2 linked regions of the Macaca fascicularis genome follow. The protein of the gene in region 1 interacts with the protein of each later gene in a pairwise test. Links are inferred from orthologs where the notes say so. Each region holds a gene or a part of one and is shown in the gene's direction. Other genes may lie near its edges.

The links.
Region 2: the proteins of RGS19 (region 1) and GNAI2 interact in a two-hybrid assay, tested with the Homo sapiens proteins (2 studies listed by BioGRID and IntAct). The link is inferred for Macaca fascicularis from reciprocal best matches to the Homo sapiens genes RGS19 and GNAI2.

What each region holds. Positions count from the first base shown.
Region 1 is NC_088384.1:120,217,197-120,222,796, reverse strand, and holds the start of RGS19 (regulator of G-protein signaling 19), read left to right. Parts: upstream 1-2,233; 5' UTR 2,234-2,299; exon of another isoform or gene 2,300-2,879; intron 2,880-4,896; exon of another isoform or gene 4,897-5,034; intron 5,035-5,189; 5' UTR 5,190-5,257; coding exon 5,258-5,287; intron 5,288-5,497; coding exon 5,498-5,600. Other genes in the region: protein LKAAEAR1, read left to right, coding at 1,290-1,307. UniProt on the Homo sapiens protein: Inhibits signal transduction by increasing the GTPase activity of G protein alpha subunits thereby driving them into their inactive GDP-bound form. Binds to G-alpha subfamily 1 members, with the order G(i)a3 > G(i)a1 > G(o)a >> G(z)a/G(i)a2.
Region 2 is NC_088376.1:113,287,229-113,292,088, forward strand, and holds the end of GNAI2 (guanine nucleotide-binding protein G(i) subunit alpha-2), read left to right. Parts: intron 1-727; coding exon 728-856; intron 857-1,224; coding exon 1,225-1,354; intron 1,355-1,438; coding exon 1,439-1,592; intron 1,593-2,004; coding exon 2,005-2,195; 3' UTR 2,196-2,219; intron 2,220-2,861; 3' UTR 2,862-3,850; downstream 3,851-4,860. UniProt on the Homo sapiens protein: Guanine nucleotide-binding proteins (G proteins) are involved as modulators or transducers in various transmembrane signaling systems.

The sequences.
Region 1 (5,600 bases):
CCTGATGTACTTGTGACATGTGATGACAGCCAGCCCTGGTGTCCCCTGCCCAAACTCCCTGCAGCCTGGACCTCAGGATTCTGTGTCTTGGGGATTGACTGAGTACCTAGAATGAGTTCATCTACTGGGACAATCACGTATTATTTCATCATTTCTCTGAGACTCCGTTTCATCTTGAAGAAGGGTCTTGGTGCCCCACAGCAGCAAGTGCTCTGAAGGGGATGGGTCACTCTGCATCAGACAGGCAAGAGGGAAGAGGGGCAGAGACAGGCCCAGCAGGCCCAGCACCCAGAGAAGGCCAGCAAGACAGTGACCTCAGTGACTGCACCAGGGTCAGGCTGGCACTCAAGCCCTTTGATCCCCATGGAAAGCGGGGGCTCGATGTGCAAAGGAGGCTGGGGAATGGGGCCCAGGACGTTTCTGCATGGCCTGGAGGGACGCCTGCCTGTAGAAAGCTCTATGGGAAGGAAGGCATGTGGTCCAAAGCCCAATATATTGAGGGCTGTGAGGGGGCAGAGGGTCCTGGGTTCAAATCCCACCTCCACCATCAACTGCCCAGCTCACCTGGCTCCATCCATGGACTTCAGGGATGCTCTGTGCCAAGGGGCAGAAGCCAGGGGAGTGGAGAGCAGGCCCAAGGGGCCAGAGGAGATGGGGGAATGATTGGGGGGTTGTAGAGTGACCCGAGGGGGCAGGGAGGGCACTGACCTTCACCCACTGCCAACTGCCCACACCTGCATTTTCCCACAGCGGAGACAACAGGCGGGCTCAGCGGGGTCAGGTGGTTGTGTGTGGCCTGGACCAGGTGCTGGCCCATCTTCATTGAGCTTCCCTGACCTCACCTGTGCCCACCTCCCAGGAGTGTTATTTGGGCTGAATAAGCAGCAGCCTGCCTCTTGTCCCTGTGGACTTCCTGGCCCCTGCCTTTGCTTGCCTGGCCTGATAACATGGCAGTCACAGGGTTCTGCAGTCAAGTCGGCCAGACCTCTGGGTACAGCTGCGAGAGGCAGTCTGTCCTCCAGGGCCCTCTGACCTCTGACCTCTGACCTCCCCCTTCAGGCCCTCACCCCCCTCGGCAGTGCAACACCCTCCCCTCTCAGCCCTCCCGCCTCTCACTCAGGCCTTCCCTGCCTGCTCCCCACAACTCACTCTATGCCCCTAGCATCAGATCCAGGCCCATCTATGTTGCTGGCTTCTGGTCCCACTGCCTGGCCCACAGGGGCACCCAGATACTGATACTTGTCCATTGAATGAGGAACACAAGTAAAATCTCCCTTTCCACCCCTCAGAGTTCTGTGAAGGTGTAAGGTGTGCACCTGACCTGTGCAATTGGAAGGCATTTGATGAACAGGACCCCGACATTGGGAGCTATCCGGGTCGAGTGCTTGTGCTGGGTAGGACGGGAGCTGCACACAGCTGGGCCCGGGGAGGGCGGGGGGCACAGATGCTCTGCAGACACTTCCGGAGCAGGGTCAGGGCCACCGACACTGGGCCAAAGCATGCTGCGATGAGAAGCCTGGCCCACATCTGTACCGAGTCATAAAGGATGAGAAGAGTCAGCCAAAGGGGACAGTGTGGCTTTAAGCCGTAAGACATCTTGGGACACACGGGTCAGCAGGGACTCTGCCAGGCCCCGCAGGAGACATTCGACATGACTCCGGGTGCACGAACCCGCACCCCCAGTTCTCCCCAGCCCCGCAGCACAGGAATCTCCCCCTTCCTTGGGAACCCCCCACAGCACGACAGGCTCTTAACCCAGTTTTACAGACGAAGCTCACGGAGGCGAGGGGTGGGCCGGGCTGGCGTGCCCGCCGATCGGTCCTTTCCAGCAGCCGCCTCTTTCCCAAGCAGGGCAAGCAGCATATGGGGCCCCGCTCTCCTGCCTCCACACTGGAGTGTCGTGCAAGTCCCACACGAACAGCAAGGCAGGAACGGCCCCGCCGAGCAGAGTCGGGGGCCACGGCCACACCCCCATCTACTACCGTGCAGCTCCGTCGGCCCGGGGGCCAGGGCTCCACTACGAGCACCTCAACCCTCCGGGCCACCCCCAAGCGACTGTGGGGGCCGAGCGCGGGCGGGGCGGGTGGGGTGTGGAGCCGGCCGAGCGCGGGGCGGGGCGGGGCGCGGCGGGCGGGGCGGGCCCGGCGCCTCCCGGCGCGAGGAAGTCCCGGCCCCTGGCTTTGGGGAAGTGCTGCCGAGGCGCCTGCGCACTGCGCCCCCGCGCCCCCTCCCCGACTGTCGGGCCGGACCTTGGAGCGCGCGGGCCGGCGGCGGCGCGAGTGGCTCGGGAGCGCGGCTGGTGAGTGCGCGCGCGCCGCGCCGGGGACAGCGGCCCTGCCCCTCCCGGCCCGGGCCCGGGGACCGTGCGGGGCGGGAGCTTCGGGAGCCGGCGCACGGGACTCGAACCCCAAGGACTCCCGCCGCCAGGTCCACGTGGACCCTGGGCCGCAGTGGAACTGGAGCCCGCCCCCCGCGCTTGGGGGAGGGGGCGCTGCAGCCGGGTTCCCCTTTTTGTGGAGCTCAAAGCCTGGGGAAGTGATTGCTTAAAGGTGGGGGCCGGAAGAACCCAGGTTTCCGCGTCTCCCTCCCCCCCGCCAGCCCGGTGAGGAGGGGCCGGGGCGGGACACCCTGTCCGCCCCCGCCCCCACCCCGCTGGATCTGGCAGCCACTCAGCCCTTCGAGCTGTAGGGGAGGCGCTGCGCCCCCGGCCCCAGCCGATCGGGGGCTCCTGGCGCTAGCCTCCCTCCAGAGCGCCGCAGGAGTCCCTCCTGCCGTCTGACTTGAGTCCCTGCTGCTGCAGTGCACGCCCCTTCGGCAGCCAGGGTGGGGCCCAGACCCAACCTGGCCCCTCCTGCCCCCACCCTGCCTTTGGGTCGCTGGTGAGTAGGGAGCATTGAGGTAGGGGTGGGGGCGTCAGAGGCTGGAGAAAGAGGCACCTGGAGGAGGACACAGGCTCCTCCAGGCGGGACCCTAACAGCAGCCAGAGGAGCGTGGTGGGTGGGTCACCACCACCATTTCAGAGGTGGGGAGAGCTGGCCTTCCTTGGAGGGGCCAGGCCAGGGCTCATCCACCAGCCAGATGTGGAGGGTGGCAGATGGGAAAGGCCCTGGGTGGGCGCTAAGAACTGAGAATGGAGCCCCTCTTCAACCCCTCCCAAAGGTTATGACATTTTTTTCTGGGATTGTCACATTTTCTTATTCTTTTTTTGGACTGGGCAGGCTCTGGGACGTTCTTTTTCCTTCTGTGGAGCAAAGCAGCAGCCACTCCCAAGGGAGCCTCTATCCCCAGAGACCAGACGTGCCGCCTGTCCAGACTCTCCCATCCCAGACTTGGGGGCCAAAGCCTGGGAGGCTGGGGAAGGGGGGTCCCCAATCCCAGGATGACAAGCAGGAGGACCCTAGTTGAGACTCTGTATCCTCCAGGAGAGAAGGGGGTGTAGCCTGGGGACATGGGTTGCCCCAGCTGACCTGAGAAGGGTACAGGAAGCCCAGTCCAGGGACAGGTGACCCGGTCCAGGGCCTGAAGCTGGGAAAGAAGGGGCTGGCTCCCTCCTCTGCAGCAAATGCAGCCCCTAGCACCCCGGCCTGGCACCCCTAAACATGTCCCCTCCTCCAGTTCAGAGCTGGGGTGGACATGGTAGCCCAGGAGGGACAGTCTCCGGGGTGCTAGAGTGTGGGGGAGGACCCTGGGTGGGGGCAGAGAGGAGGAAGAACTGCTGCCTGGGGAAGTCACAGACAGCCCCGTCTGGGCACAGCTACCAAACCTCAGGTTGCCACGCCCCTTCCTTTCCCTAGAAACTTGACCCCTGAAAGCAAGCCCAGCTGCGGGGCCACCTTCTGTCTCCTCATCTACTTGCTAGGAACCTGTGGGACCCACAGTCTCAGAGGAAGCTGGGCAGGCGGTGAGGGGCCGAGGTCCCGGGGGATGCTGCACCTGCCCCAGACTTGGGCCAGGGCAGTGGCCTCTGCATGCCCAGGCCTCAGGGGTATTGGGGGCCCTGAGAGTGCAGAACTCCAGCACTGTCTCCTCTGAGCGCCATTCACACACCGTCCCAGAAGGCCAAGAGAGACCAACCAGACAGAAACAAGCATTCAAAGGCCACAAGCTAAGGGAGGCGTGGCGGGGGGGATGAAGATTGAGAAAATAAAGTAGAACCAAGTTGTGAGCTTCCTGGCCAGGGAGGAGGGTGGTGGACATGCATGGAGGCCCAGAGGGCAGAGGTGGGCGCAGGTGTTCACAACTGCCTCCGGGGCACTGATTGGCCCCCCTGTGCCATTGCCCAAGGAGACCTGGGGTTCAAAGTGGTATCTTAGGTGGCACGAGGGCCACCCACAGCTTTGGCGCTCCTGGTGCACCTCCCCTGCCGATGGTGCAACCAAACGCTGGGAGGTACACGCACCACACCACACCCCTCAGGGACTCTGAGGCTTTGACTGGGGAGGAGGGTGCCTCCACCCACTGCCACCCCCACTTCCCTGGCTGGCGCACTGTGTGGTACGGCCTTGGTTCCACAGCGGTTTCACAGCCTAGAGGCAGTGGGCAAGGAGGGAGGGAAGTCTTGGGAGGGAGGTAGCAGGACCAAAGAACCATGTTTGGGGGGCACGTCCCTCCTCACCAGGGCCCTGCCCCCCTCCCCACACCCTCAGAGAGTCCAGCCCTGAGTCCCACTTAAAACCTCACTGCGGCAGGTCTAACCTGCTGCCCCTGGCTGAGACCTCTGGGACCCGCAGACAGACCTGGACTCTTGGTGGGAGCTGCTCTGCCCACTCCCCACCCCAGACGCCCTAGAAGCAAGTCTGGCCACCACCCGCACGCACAGTTGGTAGCCCCAGACTCTTGGGGCCCCTTTGGGAGGGGCTGGGAGCCGGAAACCGAGAAAGAGGAACCCAGGCTTCCGGCTTCCCAGGGAGTGAGCGGATGGGGGTGTCTCGGAACCTTCTGTGGGGGCCTCATCTGGGGCCCAGCCTGGGAGGAGGGGCCAGAAGTTGCTGCAGCCCCCTCCTCAATGACCCTAGACCCCCTCCCAGCCCTGCTGTAAGCTTGGGGTTGGGGTAGAAGCCCTGGACAGAGCCGGGTCCAGAGGCAGGAGCAGGCCCTGCTAGGGAGACACCCTCTCAGGACCCCTCCTAAGGGACAGGCAGGGGCTGGGGTTTCAGGTTCTCAGTCAGAACCTTGGCCCCTCTCCCTAGACCCCCAGGCTGTGGTGAGGGTCTGAGAGCTGGCACCACGGAGCCTGGGCAACCTCCTCCGCCCACCCATGCCCACCCCGCATGAGGCTGAGAAGCAGGTATGCCACCTCCCCTTCTGCCTCTGCTCCCCTGGGGTAGACGGGGTGGGGCAAGCTGAGGGGCCACAAGGAGTTGGGAGATCCCTGAACACCCGGGAGGCCAGAAGGGTCATGTGCCTGGGAACAGGGCCACCCATGGGAGGGTGGGGGAGAGGTGGAGGGTCTGGTGGGTTCTGACCTGAAGGCTGAGGTAGCCCCATTTTTCCCCAGAACACAGGGCCAGAGGAGGCGGACCGGCCCCCTTCAATGTCCAGTCATGATGCAGCCCCTCCCGCAGCCCCCAGCCGTAACCCCTGCTGCCTATGCTGGTGCT
Region 2 (4,860 bases), on another chromosome or scaffold:
TCTGCGGCTAGTGCCGTAATTGTGCCCATTATCATCCTGAATCCTTCACTGAAGGACTAATTTGCCTCCTCCCACCCTCTTTGCCTATAGCCCCAACATCCTGGATCCTGTCCGAGGCAGGCCTGGCTCAGACCCTGAGTACTAGATCTTCACTGGCTAGCTGTCCACAGAGCTGCACCTCCTCCCATTCCCATTCTACAGGTGGGAGGCCGGGGGCTCTGAGTTCAGGTTTCTTCATTTGAGCAATGAGGTAATGCAGGCAGGGGTTAAAGAAGCAAGGGCTGTGCCTAGGCTGGGCACGGTGGCTGACGCCTATAATCCCAGCACTTTGGGAGGCTGAGGTGGGTGGATCACCTGAGGTCGAGAGATCAAGACCATTCTGGTCAACATGGTGAAACCCCATCTCCACTAAAAATACAAAAATTAGCTGGGCTTGGTGGCTTGCGCCTGTAGTCCCAGCTACTCAGGAGGCTGAGGCAGGAGAATCGCTTGAACCTGGAAGGCGGAGGTTGCAGTGAGCCAAGGTCAGGCCACTGTACTCCAGCCTGGCAACAAAGTGACACTCTGTCTCAGAAAACAAAAAAAAAAAAGAAAGAAAAAGGGAAAAAAGCAAGGGCTATGCCTGAGAAATGGCATGGGAGGAAAGGGGCCTCTTCCAGCTGGCCCAGGGTCCAGGTAAGGTGGCCCCATGTTGGCCCCCACTGACCCTCCCACCCCCCACCCCCAGCTACCTGAACGACCTGGAGCGCATTGCACAGAGTGACTACATCCCCACGCAGCAAGATGTGTTACGGACCCGCGTAAAGACCACGGGGATCGTGGAGACACACTTCACCTTCAAGGACCTACACTTCAAGTGAGCGAGCATATAAACAGGTGGGAGGGGCAGGACCTGCCAGCCTTTGGGGTAGCAGAGGCAGGGGCTGGTCCAGGATCCCCCAGCCCCACTGAGGTTTTGCGAGGCTCACATGTTCTGGGCCAGCACATCCTCACCACCTGGTGAACCAGCAGTCAGGATCCATGCCACCTCTGCCAACTGCTCACAGCCTCTGCTGCTCCTGCCTGATGTGGCTGCAGCCTGTCTGCTGTCCAAGCCCCAGGCCCAGAACCAGGGGTGAGGTGGGCAAGTGTGGATGATTCCAGATGTCAGCCAACCTGGGAAATGGGGCAGAAAGCCTCCCCCAGCGCTCCCTTCCTGGAGCTAAAGTGATCCTATATCTGCAGGATGTTTGATGTGGGTGGTCAGCGGTCTGAGCGGAAGAAGTGGATCCACTGCTTTGAGGGCGTCACAGCCATCATCTTCTGCGTAGCCTTGAGCGCCTACGACTTGGTGCTAGCTGAGGACGAGGAGATGGTGAGAGGCTGAGAGAATGCTGCGGGTGGAGGCAGCGGGCTTGGGGAGTGGTGGCTAGTGTTGACCTCGATATTCTGCCCCTAGAACCGCATGCATGAGAGCATGAAGCTATTCGACAGCATCTGCAACAACAAGTGGTTCACAGACACGTCCATCATCCTCTTCCTCAACAAGAAGGACCTGTTCGAGGAGAAGATCACACACAGTCCCCTGACCATCTGCTTCCCTGAGTACACAGGTGTGGGGACTGTGGGGACAGGGCCTCCAGAGAGTTGCTGTTTGTCCCCAGTAGCCCCTGGTGACCAGGTGGCCCTCAGGCGCCCCCCACTGGACAGAAGTGTAGCCTTGGAACATTTGCAGGGGCTGGTGCCTCACTTAGGCTTGTATAGTTATGTGTGCACATGTGGAGCCCTTAACACACTCAAGCATGTACCCCTGAACATGTGCACCTGGGCATCCTCCTTCACACAGTAGGGTACCCCTTTGCACATCTGGCATATATGGGCAGCCACACACATTGTCATATTGTGCACATGTGTGCACAGGTTGTATGCCTGGCCATCCACACGCACAGACCCTTGCTGCACATGTAGGATGGGGCTTGCCTGCTGCATATGCAGCACAAGTCTTCACCATTTTCTCTTCCCCAGGGGCCAACAAGTATGATGAGGCAGCCAGCTACATCCAGAGTAAGTTTGAGGACCTGAATAAGCGCAAAGACACCAAGGAGATCTACACGCACTTCACGTGCGCCACCGACACCAAGAACGTGCAGTTCGTGTTTGACGCCGTCACCGATGTCATCATCAAGAACAACCTGAAGGACTGCGGCCTCTTCTGAGGGGCAGCGGGGCCTGGCGGGATGGTGAGCCAGAGGGGCTGTGGCAGGGAGCTGGGGAAGAACTAAGCGGGCCTGGAGCCCCAGCAGGGGGTTCTGGGGGTGGGTAGGGGCTTGAACCTGGAGGGGGAGGGGCAATAGGTGACCAGGGGACAAGGGAGGAGGAGGCACAGGGTGTGAATCAGGAGGTCAAGTGAGTGGGGTGCAGGGCATGGAGGAGGTCATACAAGCAGGCCTGGCCCAGTGGTCCAGACAGAAGGGCCTGGCCTTGCCCTGGGACAGAACCAGAGGCCATTCTGATGTTCCCTGGAGAAATCTCACCTCCTCACCCACCAGGCCATTGGCCCAGCCTGGGCCAGCGGAGCCCAGCCCTCCTGCCCACTACCACCAGCTCTGTGCACACCTCCAGCTCTTGCCCTCCAACCTGTCTGAGCTTCCTGGGCTTAGGCTGGCCCCACTGGCCCTGGTGGAGGTGGGGATGACTCTCCCAGTGCCACAGACTCCCCTCCTCCATGTAACCCAGCAACAGAAGCTGGCTCCTGGGCGGCAACTGTGTCCCTGGTAACAAATGGGTAGGAAAAATGGAGAAGGGTCATTGTCTAGGGAGGTGGGAGAGAGGCGCGGCCTGGCTGCTTCCCGATCCATGCTCTGCTTTCCCCCCACCTCTAGGGCCACCGCCAACTCTGTACCCCCCAACCCTTGAAGAAGATGGGGGCAAGAAGACCACGCTCCCCGCCTGTTCCCTGGCCGCTTTTCTCCTCTTTCCTCTCTTTGTTCTCAGCTCCCCCTGTCCCTCAGCTCCAGATGTAGGGGAGGGGTTGCCACGGGCCTCCTTGTTTGAAGCCTGCCCTTGTCTGAGGTGCTGGTAATGGCCATGGTACCCCCTTTCTGGGCATCTGTTCTGGTTTTTAACCATTGTCTTGTTCTGTGATGGGGGGAGGGGGGCACATGCTGAGTCTCCCAAGGCTATGTCCGGAGGGGCGCCTGCTTCTCCAGCCTGGACCCCCAGCTTTGCCCAACACCAGCCCCTGCCCCAGCCCAAGTCCAAATGTTTACAGGGAGCCTCCTGCCCAGTCCCCTACCCCCCAGCCGCTCGGAGGCCCCAAAGGAAAAAGCACAAGAAGCGTGAGACACCACCATTCCTGGAGACCACAGTCCACCTACTCATTCTCGTAGCTTTTTAAAAAAAATATGAAAGTAAAGGAAAAAAAAAAAAAAACTGCAAATCTAGAAAACTTTTTAGAGAAAAACTATTTAAAACTGTCAGATCCTGACCAGCAACCCCTCCAGCCCCCTTTCAAGTGACTCCGTGCCTTGAGTGTGTCTGCGTGTTTACACCTATCCCTCTGCTGGCCGCCCCTGTGCGAGCCGCAACCCTGCCCTGCCCTCCACAGAATTGGGTTCCAAGGGCTGTTCCAGACAACTGCCAACGTCACTGAGGGCCCTGCCCCAGCGGCCCTGGGCCCAGGCTCCATTAACCTAAAATGTAGCTCCCTAGCGCTAACCTAGGAACCGCCGCTGCCTGCTGGGGGGCCACACCCCTCATTCCCTTGTCCCAGGCCCGGGGCCTTCAGCGTTGAACACTTCCTTGCTTTTTTCACATGTTTTATGGAATTGTTCACCTGGTTTGAAATAATAAAATGTAGAAAGAAAAAAAATACCGAGAACTGATGGGTATTCTCTCCCAGGGGCAGAGGCCCCGGCTAAGGTGTGCCAAGGTGATGGTGGTCTTAACCTCAGTCCTCAACCTGGGGCAGGGCCCTGACTCAGCTTTCCGGGCCGTCCTGGAGCCCGAAGCTCTGGGCTTCATTTCTCCCACCTGGACTAGGCAGCATACATGTGGGGGCCGTGTGTCCCCGCCTTCCCAGCACTCTGCAGCTTTGGGTCTCGGGCAGCTGGACTGGCTTCTAAGGAAACTGTTGTAAAGTGCTCTTCCACACCGGGAGCAGGAGGGGTGTCCGGCACGTCTCTAACGTGTAAGGAGAAAGTGACTTACGACTTAGGTACCAAAGCCCGGAGAGTGTGCGTTGCCAAGTCCACACAGCCAGGTGGGCTGGATGCAGTCCAGGCTTGACTAAACCGAAGGCCATTAGGGGCCTTGAGACATATTCTGAAATGTCCCTGCCCCAGAGGGCCCCCGTCAAACCTGAAGGGTAGTGACAGACAGGCCCCGTATTACCATGTGATGGTTGCCACAGGCTGGGCCTGGGGGGCTGCAGATCATTGAAGATGGAAAGCTCCCTGAGGCTGTGGGAAGGGCCCGCGCGTTGCTGGGGAAGGGAACTGCAGATGACAAGGCTGGTGATGCTTGTGGGGCGGGCCCTGAGTGCCATCGAGGCGCCTAGACCTTCTCCTATGGGCAGCAGGGACAGCCGCGGCCTGAACGTGTCGGGACGGGCTGGGGGAAAAGCCGGCCTCCACAGGGTGGGGCTCCGGGGTTAACGCCTCCGCCTCCGGCCGCCAGGGGGCGCCGCCGCCCGCGTTCGGCCCTGTCTGGCTGGTCACGGAGGCTGACGTCAGCGGGTCCCGCGGAGGCCGCTGGACACAAAGGCAGCTTTGTGAGGAGGCGACGGCTCCGCGGCCACCCCGAGACAGAGCTGCTTGGGCAGGGGGCGGGCCGGGGTCGGCGCCGCGGAGGCGGGGAGGGAGGGAGGGAGGGTTGAGCCAC